Linked DNA regions of Drosophila melanogaster. Changing the gene in region 2 together with the main gene of any one other region gives a genetic interaction. Each region holds a gene or a part of one and is shown on either strand. Other genes may lie near its edges. The genes, in order: nudE and Zwilch.

Region 1 (5,352 bases), on a different chromosome or scaffold from region 2:
ATTTTAGTTCAAATAAATAAAGAGGCAGCAGAAACTTAATTAATGCGAACAGTAACATTAAAGTAACGTAACGTAAACGTAAAGCCAACTGAACAGTATCCCGCCCTAGGTGATTGGGTTTCGGATTTGGGGTTTGTGGATCACGCTGAACTGCAGAATCCACACTACTCGGCATCCAGCGAGAAGCAAGGCAGTCCGGCCAGCGCCGGATGTGTGGATTGCTGGGAGGAGCGGTGTCGCTGCGGCATTGGCTGACCATTCTCGCGGTACGTCTTCAGTTTCGTCTCCATCGCCTAAAAAAAAAACACAAAACGAGAGCGGATTAAGCAACAGTCAGTGAACTATATGAAAAATTAACTATAGAAGGATTTGGGCACATCATATAATAAATAAATTAATGAAAATTTCATTTCGCAACGGTTTGCCCAGTGCAGAGTTTAGTCAGCAAGCCAAGTTATTATGCGCTTTCGAAACTGAATAAATCATAACGAACAAAAACAAAGAACATAAAATAAGGTACAAATAAATTTTGTATTTATTAACCAATGCAATTAATAAATGCAAGCGGAGGGCAACTAAAATTAGCCTTAAAGTTCCGAGCGCATTGTCAGAGCGGCAGGCTGGCGTCCGGCGAGTTTCGCATGCGCTCGGCGAAGCGCCTAAAAATGTTTGAGCCCGCACTGAGGCTTCCGGCGGAGCTGCAATCGCTGGTGGGCGTGGACTGGGCGCTACTGGTGGCCACTGAGCTGCTGCTGCCGCCAAAGGCGCGGCGAAAAAGACTTGCCTCGCTGGCCGATGGCGGCGGCGGCGGCTGCACACTTGCCGGGCGCTCACACATGCAGCGAAACTTTTCGCACTCGGGACATAGCAGTGCCTTGTCCCACTAAAAACATAGGGAAAAACACATAAGCCGATGGTGGGAGTGAAGGGTTCAAGGATCATATGTACATACGAAACAATGGATGAGGTAGGATGGCATGCTGGACTTATAGTTTGCGGAGGGACTTACGTTTAGTTTTCTTAACATGTCGGCCACAATGTTGAGCGCCGTTGTGCGGGAGCTGGGGTTCATGGAATTGCCATTGATTTGATTCTCGGGATCTGCAAGAGGAAGCACACGTACACAGCATGTTAGTCGAGAGGTTAGTTAGGTCAACTACTAGCTACAGACGCAAACACAAATCGTACAAAAATCGCCTACAAGAAATGTTGCAAACTCTTTCGTCACATTTGGGCTCTTAATTTTAATAATTTACAATACAATTACAAATTATGAGGAACTTAAGCGGGCTACATTTTTTGGTTAACAAGTAAAAAAGAAACAAATGGAAAAACAATACTAAATGCATGGCTTGAACGTTTGGCGATTCGTCTTGGACAGTTTTAGCGCGCGTCTGGTTTTCTTTAGGGAACTTAGTATCTTACTCTTAAGCGAATGCTGCTGGTTATATTCGTTTCTATTAACTAAACTGCCATTGAGGGCGTTGACGCTGACGCTGGTGGCTCTTGTGGCGACAGCATTGTCGTGTTTTACCAATTCGCCATTGGCAACAATACCATTTGGCAGCGAGGCGGACGAGTTCATCGAGCTGTTGACCGTATTTGTGTCGTTTGCCGTGGGAACGCTCGTTCCATTGACCACTGGGGTAAAGCGTGACTTGACGTTCAGCTCTTGTTTGAGATCTGCAATAGATTTGATGAATTAGTTTTAAAGTCTGTGCTGGACATCTGGTATAGATGCATCCACCTCTCGTCTCATCCATTAATCGCTGTAGTTTTTCCTGCAGCAATCCCTTTTCATCCACTTCCAGCTCCAGAAGGGCGTTCTTCTCGTAGGCCTGATCCAGCATCTTCTCGAAATTCTCTATGCTTTCGTTAAGTATGCGATGGGCACGTTCCAAATCGTCGTTTTTCTGCTCCAGCTGCCGCAGGTACACCTTCATGGTGTCGCGATCCTTCTTCACCGTTTCCAGCTGTTTCTCCATGTTTGACATATCGATGCCATGCGATTCCAACTTGAGCTGAGAATGAAATAGTTGTAAAGACTAATCTTGTCGGGAGCTCAAAGCCACATATACGCAAACTGAGTCTAAGAATTAAGCTCAGTTTGTGTAAATCGGGCTTAGCTTATAGCTACCTTGAGAGACTCGTTTTCCCGCTCAAACATTGTGAGTTTGGCTGTGAGATCTTTGATTATACTCTGCTTCTGGTCCAGAGTGGCGTCCATTTCTATTTCCATTTCGCGGGACTGCTCCACAAACTCGTCGTACTCCTGTTTCACGTCTGTCCACCTGAAAATTAAAAGTAAAACTAGGCTATATGGCTGATTTCGGAGACTGTAATAGGGATGGGCACTTACTCTTTGTGGTACTGCTTAGATCGTTCCTTCCAATATCTGCACTCATCTTCCACACTATTGAACATCGGGGGCGACTCCATTTCTGCAAATTTTCCTTAGCTGCTAACTCCTTTTTCTGGTTTTTGTGTACTAATCGGCGGTCAAAATGGGTTTGTAATTTCGTTCGTTCGAATTGATTTAACTTTTAATTTCTGAACAATGCTATGTACTACGGTTGGTCTATTACTGTTTGGGTTATTTATTCGTGTTTTTTGGCTGCTTTGTTTTTAATTGCTGTGATTAAAATGCCAAAACACAGTTGTTGTTCAAGTCGTAGTTTTACTTTTTTTTTGTTTTGTGTGTTGGGGGTGGTGAATAGACTAGAAGTCGGCGAAGAAAAGTGAAAAATCAATTAGGAACAGGTGTTTGCCCTGAATTTTGTAGTTACTGTTGCTGTTGTTCTTGTTCGATGCCCTAAAAGGGCAGTCGGTTTTGTCCATATCAAATGTAAATAAAATCAAATTAAACAAAACTCATTTTTGTGACGCAGCTGCTGCGGCAACAACAACGAAAACAACGAGGATGATGGTGATGAGCAGCAGCAACAACAACAACAACAAATAGCTACGACGAAGTTTCCCATACAACAACGCACTGCATGGAAATGAAATCATCGGTGATTTTTTCGTAGAATTCCAGTGTTTATACCTAGAATTTTATACAGCACGACTGTCCACATTTACTACTTACACTTTGCACTTAATTTTGCTACGTTTTGTTTGTTTTATTTACATAAAATCAGTGTAAATAGTTATGCTCGTAAAAATTTACCACTACTCCAAAAACGCACAAGCCAACCCTGGCTTGGGTTGCCAGTGTTGGCCAATAGATGGGCATTTGCCGTTTCCAGCCCTGGTCAACAGTTGTTATTTGAAATTTAATCAACATATAAAGTTTTACTCGGCTTTTTTTTGCGTTTACGTAGTTTTCTTATATATTCCAAATCATATTTCTCTAATGGACGTGCTGTGAACGTTATCGATTTGTTGGCCGGCGCATCGTTGCTGGTATCGTCCGAAATATGAAACTCAGAGTCGGAACTATCTTCAATTATTTGAGCTGAGCTTAGTGTTAAATCACGAGTGGAGCTGGGAGTTTGTGGCAGTGCTGCAACATTTTCGCCAACTACGCGCATGGGCAGCGCATGATAATGATATGATACATTTCGACAGGATTTGCGGCGTAGTTTGTGTTTTCTGCTTGTTTCAAAGTCACTTGAACTTGTGGACGTGTTATCGTCCCCACTATTTGAGCCTTCCCCGCTTACAGAATCCTTATTGTCAATTTTATTGGAGTTTTTCGTGATTTTAGACATATTTGTTTTAAGCCGCGCTGGATTGTTTTGGTTCCAAAAATGAACAATTTTTCGCTGATCTGTTTCTGGTTCTTTACCAAGTACAACGATGTGGCAACTCCCTGGCAGGGCCGCAACTGAAAAATCTCAAACGGGACATCGTTGCCAGATAGCTAGCCAGAGTGTGGCCAGATCGCAGCGACTGCAGTGCATTTTCAACAAAAATAAGGTAAAATATAGCACAATTATGGCCAGCAATTGTTAAACAATTAACGCAATTGCCAGTATTATAACCAAATGTCAACTGTGTGAGTGCGACAATCGAGCTCGCGTGGGCGTTGCACATGCAGCATCATCGAATTGATTAATTGCGGCGCATGCCGAAAAGTGAAAAAAGGGAGGATGTGTTTCAATCAACGCGAGTGAAAACCGCGACGAACGAAGAAAAAAAAAACCAAACTACTGCGGCAATCGTGAACAAAGAGCTCGTTGCGTCCGAAATTATGTGGCACAGCAACTAAACTATTGGATTTCCCACTCATTTTCCAGTTGAAATCAACGCGTTGCAGCAGCCCCCGCAGCAACAGCAACAACAAAACAAAGGCAACTGGAAGTGCAGCCTAACGGGAATTGCTCCAGCATATAGAGATTATAGTCCACACATATAAATATCCATTTATCGGAAGATAGTCCACAATGGCGGATCCAGAGCGACAAAGCCTGATCAACAAGGACGACGGCAATGGCTACAATTCCGTGGACGCCGTGGACGAGGGTGCCGATAATCCCGGCAGCAACTCATCGGTGGCCACAAACGAGGACGGTGCGTATCGTTACTGTAAAGCCGGGCATTCAACCCGCATCCAATCAGCCGGGCGGGCAACCCATTGGAAGCCCAACAAGTGTGCGGGCGCTCCACTTATCCGGATCCAACGCCGTGATTCCGAGTTGTCTGCTCGCCGTCTCATTTGGCATTTTCACACTTCACCCAACTGAGTCATAAATGCGTGTGGTTTGGTGCGGGGGGAGAGCAATGGGACTGCACAGAAAGAAAAACTGATAGGATATGTGGTGCCCAAATGCCATTTTAAATTATCTGCCATTTTTTTATTTTTTAATAGGGCCCAGTATTATTGGTATTACCAAAAATTTACAACCTAATATAAAATTTTCTTATTGGCCTAAATATCAAATGGGCCACGTACACCATAAAAAAAATGTAATTTTATCACGAAATTGTGAAGAGCTGCCAAAAATGTAAAGATCGATTGTAGTTAGTTACTCGACGCCGGTATCGGCAAAATTTTTGCACCGCCTTTGTTATTGTTTATGCTAGGACGCTCGTAATCAGCGCAAAAAGCGTTCCCCACAGCTGTTTAATCAGCATCGATTCGGAGGTGTTGCTATAGTGGTGGTTAAGCGGGGGCAGTCAATGAGTCCATGAGTCATCATGTCATTCGCTGCCTTATCGCAATACAGGGCGAAAATGAGGGTCTGCGATGAGCAGTGGTTCCATTGTTTACCAAGGAACCTGATCTTCAGCTCGGAAAAAGCTTGTCCATATCATTAATATATACAAGAGTTTAGTTACAAGGGCTTTACGACTTTCCATGTTCCCAATTAATTTGCATAGGTTATCTTTCTGTATTCCTTTCTTTTT
Region 2 (4,850 bases):
GCGACACTTGGCGATTTAAACAAACTTAATTAAGATTTCACGGGCACTGTTCACTCTTCACTCTTTAGTCAACTGTCCAAAAAATTTGATTTGATTTCCAGCTCCCAGTGGCTATATTCCCTGGCCAGGACACTCGCGTGGAAATCCTTGCTTGAAATTCCGTTCGCTTTTCAGGGGAAAAACAGGGCTGGAAAAAACACGACCGAACCGCTGCGCGTTCCACGCACGTCTGACAAACTGCAAATCAATCAGCGACGGGCCAAGTACTCTAGTTGGCCAACTGGCGCATCCGGCTAATTGGATTGTAACATATCGGGAATGCTCGATGGCGCCGTCACCATTGGGCACACACTCTTTTCGCCTCATTTGCAGCATTACTTCACTGGAGGAATGGCCAAATGCTGGTCATGCTGACCTTTGTATAGAATATGGCCGGCAAAAACACTGTGATAAAAGTGCGAGCAGGGCGGAAGCGGATTTCGGCCAGGTTTTCAAGATTCCCAATGCAGCTGCAATAGCCTCTGGGTCGGCTTAAAACTTGTACGAGTTCGTTTAACATGATTTCGGTGTGCACTGCTGACTTTTTTGGAGGTTTGCGAAAACGCGTCGAAGAGCGTGTTCAACAAGCTCAAACAATTAAAATTCCGAACAAAAAGGTTCGATAGAAAAAAAGTTTGAAAAGTTATAACCAAAAGGCATTTAATTTAATAATACAACAAGCAGTGTTTGAAAAAATTCAACATTTTAAATGTGTCTCAAAACATTATGCAGCTAAGGGACATTCTTGCTAGATATCCATTAAATAAATTATTACAATGTGAAAAAGGCCATTTTAAACCATTCTTAGCCATGCTTAAATTTAAAGAATGTACAATTTTGTATTACTAAGCAAGCCTTACTTAAGTGAGCGAATCTTGTGATATATCCAGGAATGATATGTGCGCTCCTTGACCATCTCCTTGTCTGCGAAGTCAAATATATTACCATAGCTATAGAAAATAAACAAGTCAAAAAGCAAACTTACCATCACACTGGAAACACTGAGCCAAGTTCGGCGGACAAATGTTTTCCGAATTGAAATAGAAGGTGGTCTTTAGTTCGCGGAACTTGTTGTGCGAACGCATGGTAATGTGCCGGGAGTAGGGATCCTTGCCATCCAAGTGATCCCTCACATAGTGGGCAGACAGGCGAATGTCCATAACATCACTTAGCTGATCATCGATGGATTCTACTAATTTAGGCGGTTTCTTCAGCAATTCAGAACAGACATCGTTGTAAACTGTAGGTCAAAAACGGAGTTATAGCTAAAAATCCCAGGATCTGCTTTTTGTCCTTCTTACCATTTGCCAGATTTAAGTGGATGTGCATCATCAGGAGATGCTCTAAGGTGCAGTGAATCTGAAACAACTTTGAGATTCTCTCCGTACTCTCGTGCTCGTCGAAATGGCTGTTTTTGAACCCAGCATCATCGTCGCTACCGGCATATTTTGTACTCCGCGAATTGACAGCGCCGTGATGATGCAGCAGCGTCTTTCGCATTCCAGCTCCAGGGGTCGGATCACCCCTGACCGCATTGTGCAGGGATTTTCGAAGCTGGGGCAGATTCTGGGGAGAACCATCGTCCATCGACGCTCCGCTGGAGTCATCCTTCAACAGATTGGTGCTGCACATCTTGCTCTCGGTGTAGATAAACTCGTAGTCCTTGTACAACTTCTCCAGGCCAATTTCCAAAAGCAGTTCCAGAGGCTCGGCCCCACTTAAACAAGGCATGGCCAGACGACGGTTGGCCAACTCGGTGATAATCTTGGCAAGTCGATTTTTGTTAGTAGGCGTGTTCTATGGGGTGAGGAACATGAATAATATGTGGTGGTTTGCATGCATTAGCATACTTACTACTATGTTACACCGTGCAGCACATTGGAAGAGCATACTAAAGGCAATTTTGAGATCCTTGTAGGAGTGGCAGCACTTGAGCAGCTCCCAAAGCTTATCGGTTAGATCCGTGAGCTGGCGAACCTTGGCCCTCTGCACCACATCTTCGATGTCAAACTCCGCATTGCTGATGCTATACCGACCTATAAGGCCAGAGACATCTGTCATTGTCTGATTAATGGACTCGCGCAGCTCGTCCATGTCAATGCCACTGCCACAACGATAGGTGGGATCCCGAGAGACGCCCTGCTTGACATCCGTGTGGTAGGAGACGATGTCCTCGCGTATGTAGACCAGAATGCGCAGCTGATTCATAAAGTCCTGCGTCAAAGGACCGCAGTCGCCCACGCGAAAAGTGTGATTCAAAGCCACATCGCAGTCGTTCAGGTTCACCAGGAGCGGAAGTGCAGCACTAGAGGTCCAGGAGCAGCGTAGTCTCATGTGGGGATTGACCTGGTAGCTATTTTCAATGAGAGTTTCATCCGGTGTCTTGCCATGATGGCGCACCAGGGCTTGCGAGGTTACTAAGTAAGCAGGGCGCACACCCTGGTAGCTAAGTATTCCCCTGGAGAAGTGCGTAGGGTTGAACTCGTACTGGAGCAACTGAGTCTGCCCGAGATCACTGCCGTCGCACAAAAACCACACGGATCCGAGTCCCTCGGCCAGCTGCAGGAACTCGGAGCACACGATGGACCTAGCCTTGTCCACGGGTATTCCGCGTTGATATTCCTCCTCCAGCTTCCAGGGATTCGAGTGATCCAGCTGCAGGTCGATGGACAAGTCGGCTATGGCGTCCACCAGGCAGTCGTCCTTCAAAGGACTTCCCGTCAGATCCAAGTCCGCAGAGCCCTCTTTTTTTGGGGCTGCCCTGGTGGGCGTGGTCCGGAGTCTCGCCACTGCTCCATTGCGATCCTCCTTAAAGACCAGCACAATCTTCTTGCCAGCTTCCGCAGCCCCCACCATGCTCACCAAGTAGGTGGGTGGCGCTCCATAGGTGATCGTGTATGACTCGCCACACCGCCGCATTAGCTCCGCGTAAACGTTTGCCAAGTTCGCAGAAGCCGACATTTTTGGAGCAAATTCGCAAAACAGAAACAAAAAGCGGCAGTATTTGAAAAGCGAAGCGAGAATTGGTTAAACGGTCACACAGCACTTCGCTTTTTAGTGCACCTCAATAATTTTAGCAGTAAGCCGCGTGAAGGTCACACTGCAACATCGATAGCCGATAGACTTAGGCCAGCAACAATCGATAATTCTTATCCCCGCACGTGTTGAAATTGTTTTCTTTTATTTGGATCAGATTTAATTTAGTTAATTCAGACATGTCGGACTTTGAAATGGAGGACAGTGCCTCGGGCTACGACTCAGGGGATAACTCAGATGCCGAGGTAAGTGAGGAACCGAAGAAATGAACACCCCGTATACCAAAATCTCCACTCTTTTCCTGCAGCTGCAAGCGGCATTTGAGCGAGGCGACTTGAAACCAGGCCTAAATGTGGAATTCAATGGCCAGAGAGACAAAGTGAACGATGTGGTAAGTAGCTAGCTGGATGCCCGCTTTTGAATCGACTAATCCAATCCTGCCCACATAGACCAAACTGCTGGCCAAGACAGAGGCTATCAAGATGCAACTGCCTTGGCTGGAACGCCTGGACATGATCAACACACTAGCTCCACTGGCGCCGGAACTCGCTGTACAGCTGGAGAAGCACGAGCAGAAGCGGGCCAATCTCTTCAAGGGCAACGCCAAGCTGCCCTACATTCGGCCCGAGGAGGATCCCGTCCTGAATGACTTCAAGAGGGAGATGCTCTTCCACCGACAGGCGCAAAGTGCTGTTCTGGAGGCCATTCCCCGCCTTCACGAGCTGGGCATAAAGACTCGTCGACCCGATGACTACTTCGCTGAAATGGCCAAGTCCGACGAGCACATGCAGAAGGTGCGCGCCAACCTGATGGCCAAACAGCAAGGACAGGCGAAATCCGAGCGCATCAAGCAGATCCGCGAGCAGCGCAAGATGGGCAAGATGCTGGCCAAACAGACCAAGGTCCAACGCGAAGCCGAGAAGAAGGACATGCTGGACAAACTGAAGAAGTTCCGCAAGGGCAAGCTGAAAAACCTGGACTTCCTGGAGGACGCCAAGGCGCTTGAGTCCAAGCAGAAGCAGTCAGCCGAGAATCGCAAGAAGCGCAACAAGAAGTTCGGCTTCGGCGGCAAGAAGAAGGGCCTCAAGAGGAACACAAAGTCCTCCTCCGCGGGATTGGATGGCGACAAGTCCTCCAGGCGCCAGCGGGGCGTAAAGGCAGGTGCTTCGGTCAACAAGCGGCTTGGCAAATCGCGACGCATTAAGGCCAAGGGCAGAAAGTAATCCCCGGGACTGCCGACTATATTTAGGTGACCAAACTCTAGTTTTATAAAGCCCCCAATCCTGTATAGATTTTTTAGACCCATAAATACATAACATTTTGTGTGCACACAGCCTTACTTTCGAAATGTGGAATACTCCGTATAGAATTTTAGAATTCCATGAGCAATTTTCATAAATTACATTTTTCTAACATCGTTTATTCTAAAGTGGACTATAACTATTACACGTTCTCCTTGTTCTTTCGTTTCTTTTTTAGTTTTGTGCTAGTTTCCGATTCCTCCGAAGAGTCCGCCGTTTTTCGCTTCTTTTTTGACTTTACTTGTTCATCAGTTTCAACATCCTGGGGCAGTCCTTCAGTTGCTCCAAGCCCTGCTTGCCTATCCGCTCTCTTGTCCTTCTTCTTTTTTATCTTCACTGGCTCTTCGACTTCCACACCGTCTTCCTCTCCCGGCTCCCGTGTCTTATTTTTTTTCCTCTTGATCTTGACGGGATCTTCTGGAGTTTGATGTGCTGGGGATTCCTTTCCTGCCTTCTCAGCCTTGTCTTTCTTCT

Evidence for each region.
Region 1: of Zwilch (region 2) and nudE, changing one suppresses a phenotype caused by changing the other (phenotypic suppression), as found in Drosophila melanogaster (one study listed by BioGRID).

The regions. Positions count from the first base shown.
Region 1 is NT_037436.4:9,897,092-9,902,443, reverse strand, and holds nudE (nudE), read right to left. Parts: upstream 3,204-5,352; 5' UTR 3,089-3,203; exon of another isoform or gene 3,057-3,088; intron 2,719-3,056; 5' UTR 2,440-2,718; coding exon 2,360-2,439; intron 2,292-2,359; coding exon 2,138-2,291; intron 2,022-2,137; coding exon 1,748-2,021; intron 1,684-1,747; coding exon 1,426-1,683; coding exon of another isoform or gene 1,340-1,425; exon of another isoform or gene 1,247-1,339; intron 1,102-1,246; coding exon 1,010-1,101; intron 884-1,009; coding exon 608-883; 3' UTR 532-607; downstream 1-531. Other genes in the region: CG46387 (uncharacterized protein), read right to left, coding at 3,276-3,713; CG6707 (uncharacterized protein), read left to right, coding at 4,389-4,515. UniProt on the Drosophila melanogaster protein: Chaperone protein with functions in nuclear localization. Required for centrosome duplication and formation and function of the mitotic spindle.
Region 2 is NT_033777.3:31,210,290-31,215,139, forward strand, and holds Zwilch (zwilch), read right to left. Parts: upstream 3,088-4,850; 5' UTR 3,001-3,087; coding exon 1,894-3,000; intron 1,837-1,893; coding exon 1,341-1,836; intron 1,280-1,340; coding exon 1,025-1,279; intron 964-1,024; coding exon 896-963; 3' UTR 677-895; downstream 1-676. Other genes in the region: CG1542 (uncharacterized protein), read left to right, coding at 3,255-3,320, 3,383-3,466, 3,525-4,298; CG15561 (uncharacterized protein), read right to left, coding at 4,519-4,850. UniProt on the Drosophila melanogaster protein: Essential component of the mitotic checkpoint, which prevents cells from prematurely exiting mitosis. Required for the assembly of the dynein-dynactin, Mad2 complexes and spindly/CG15415 onto kinetochores.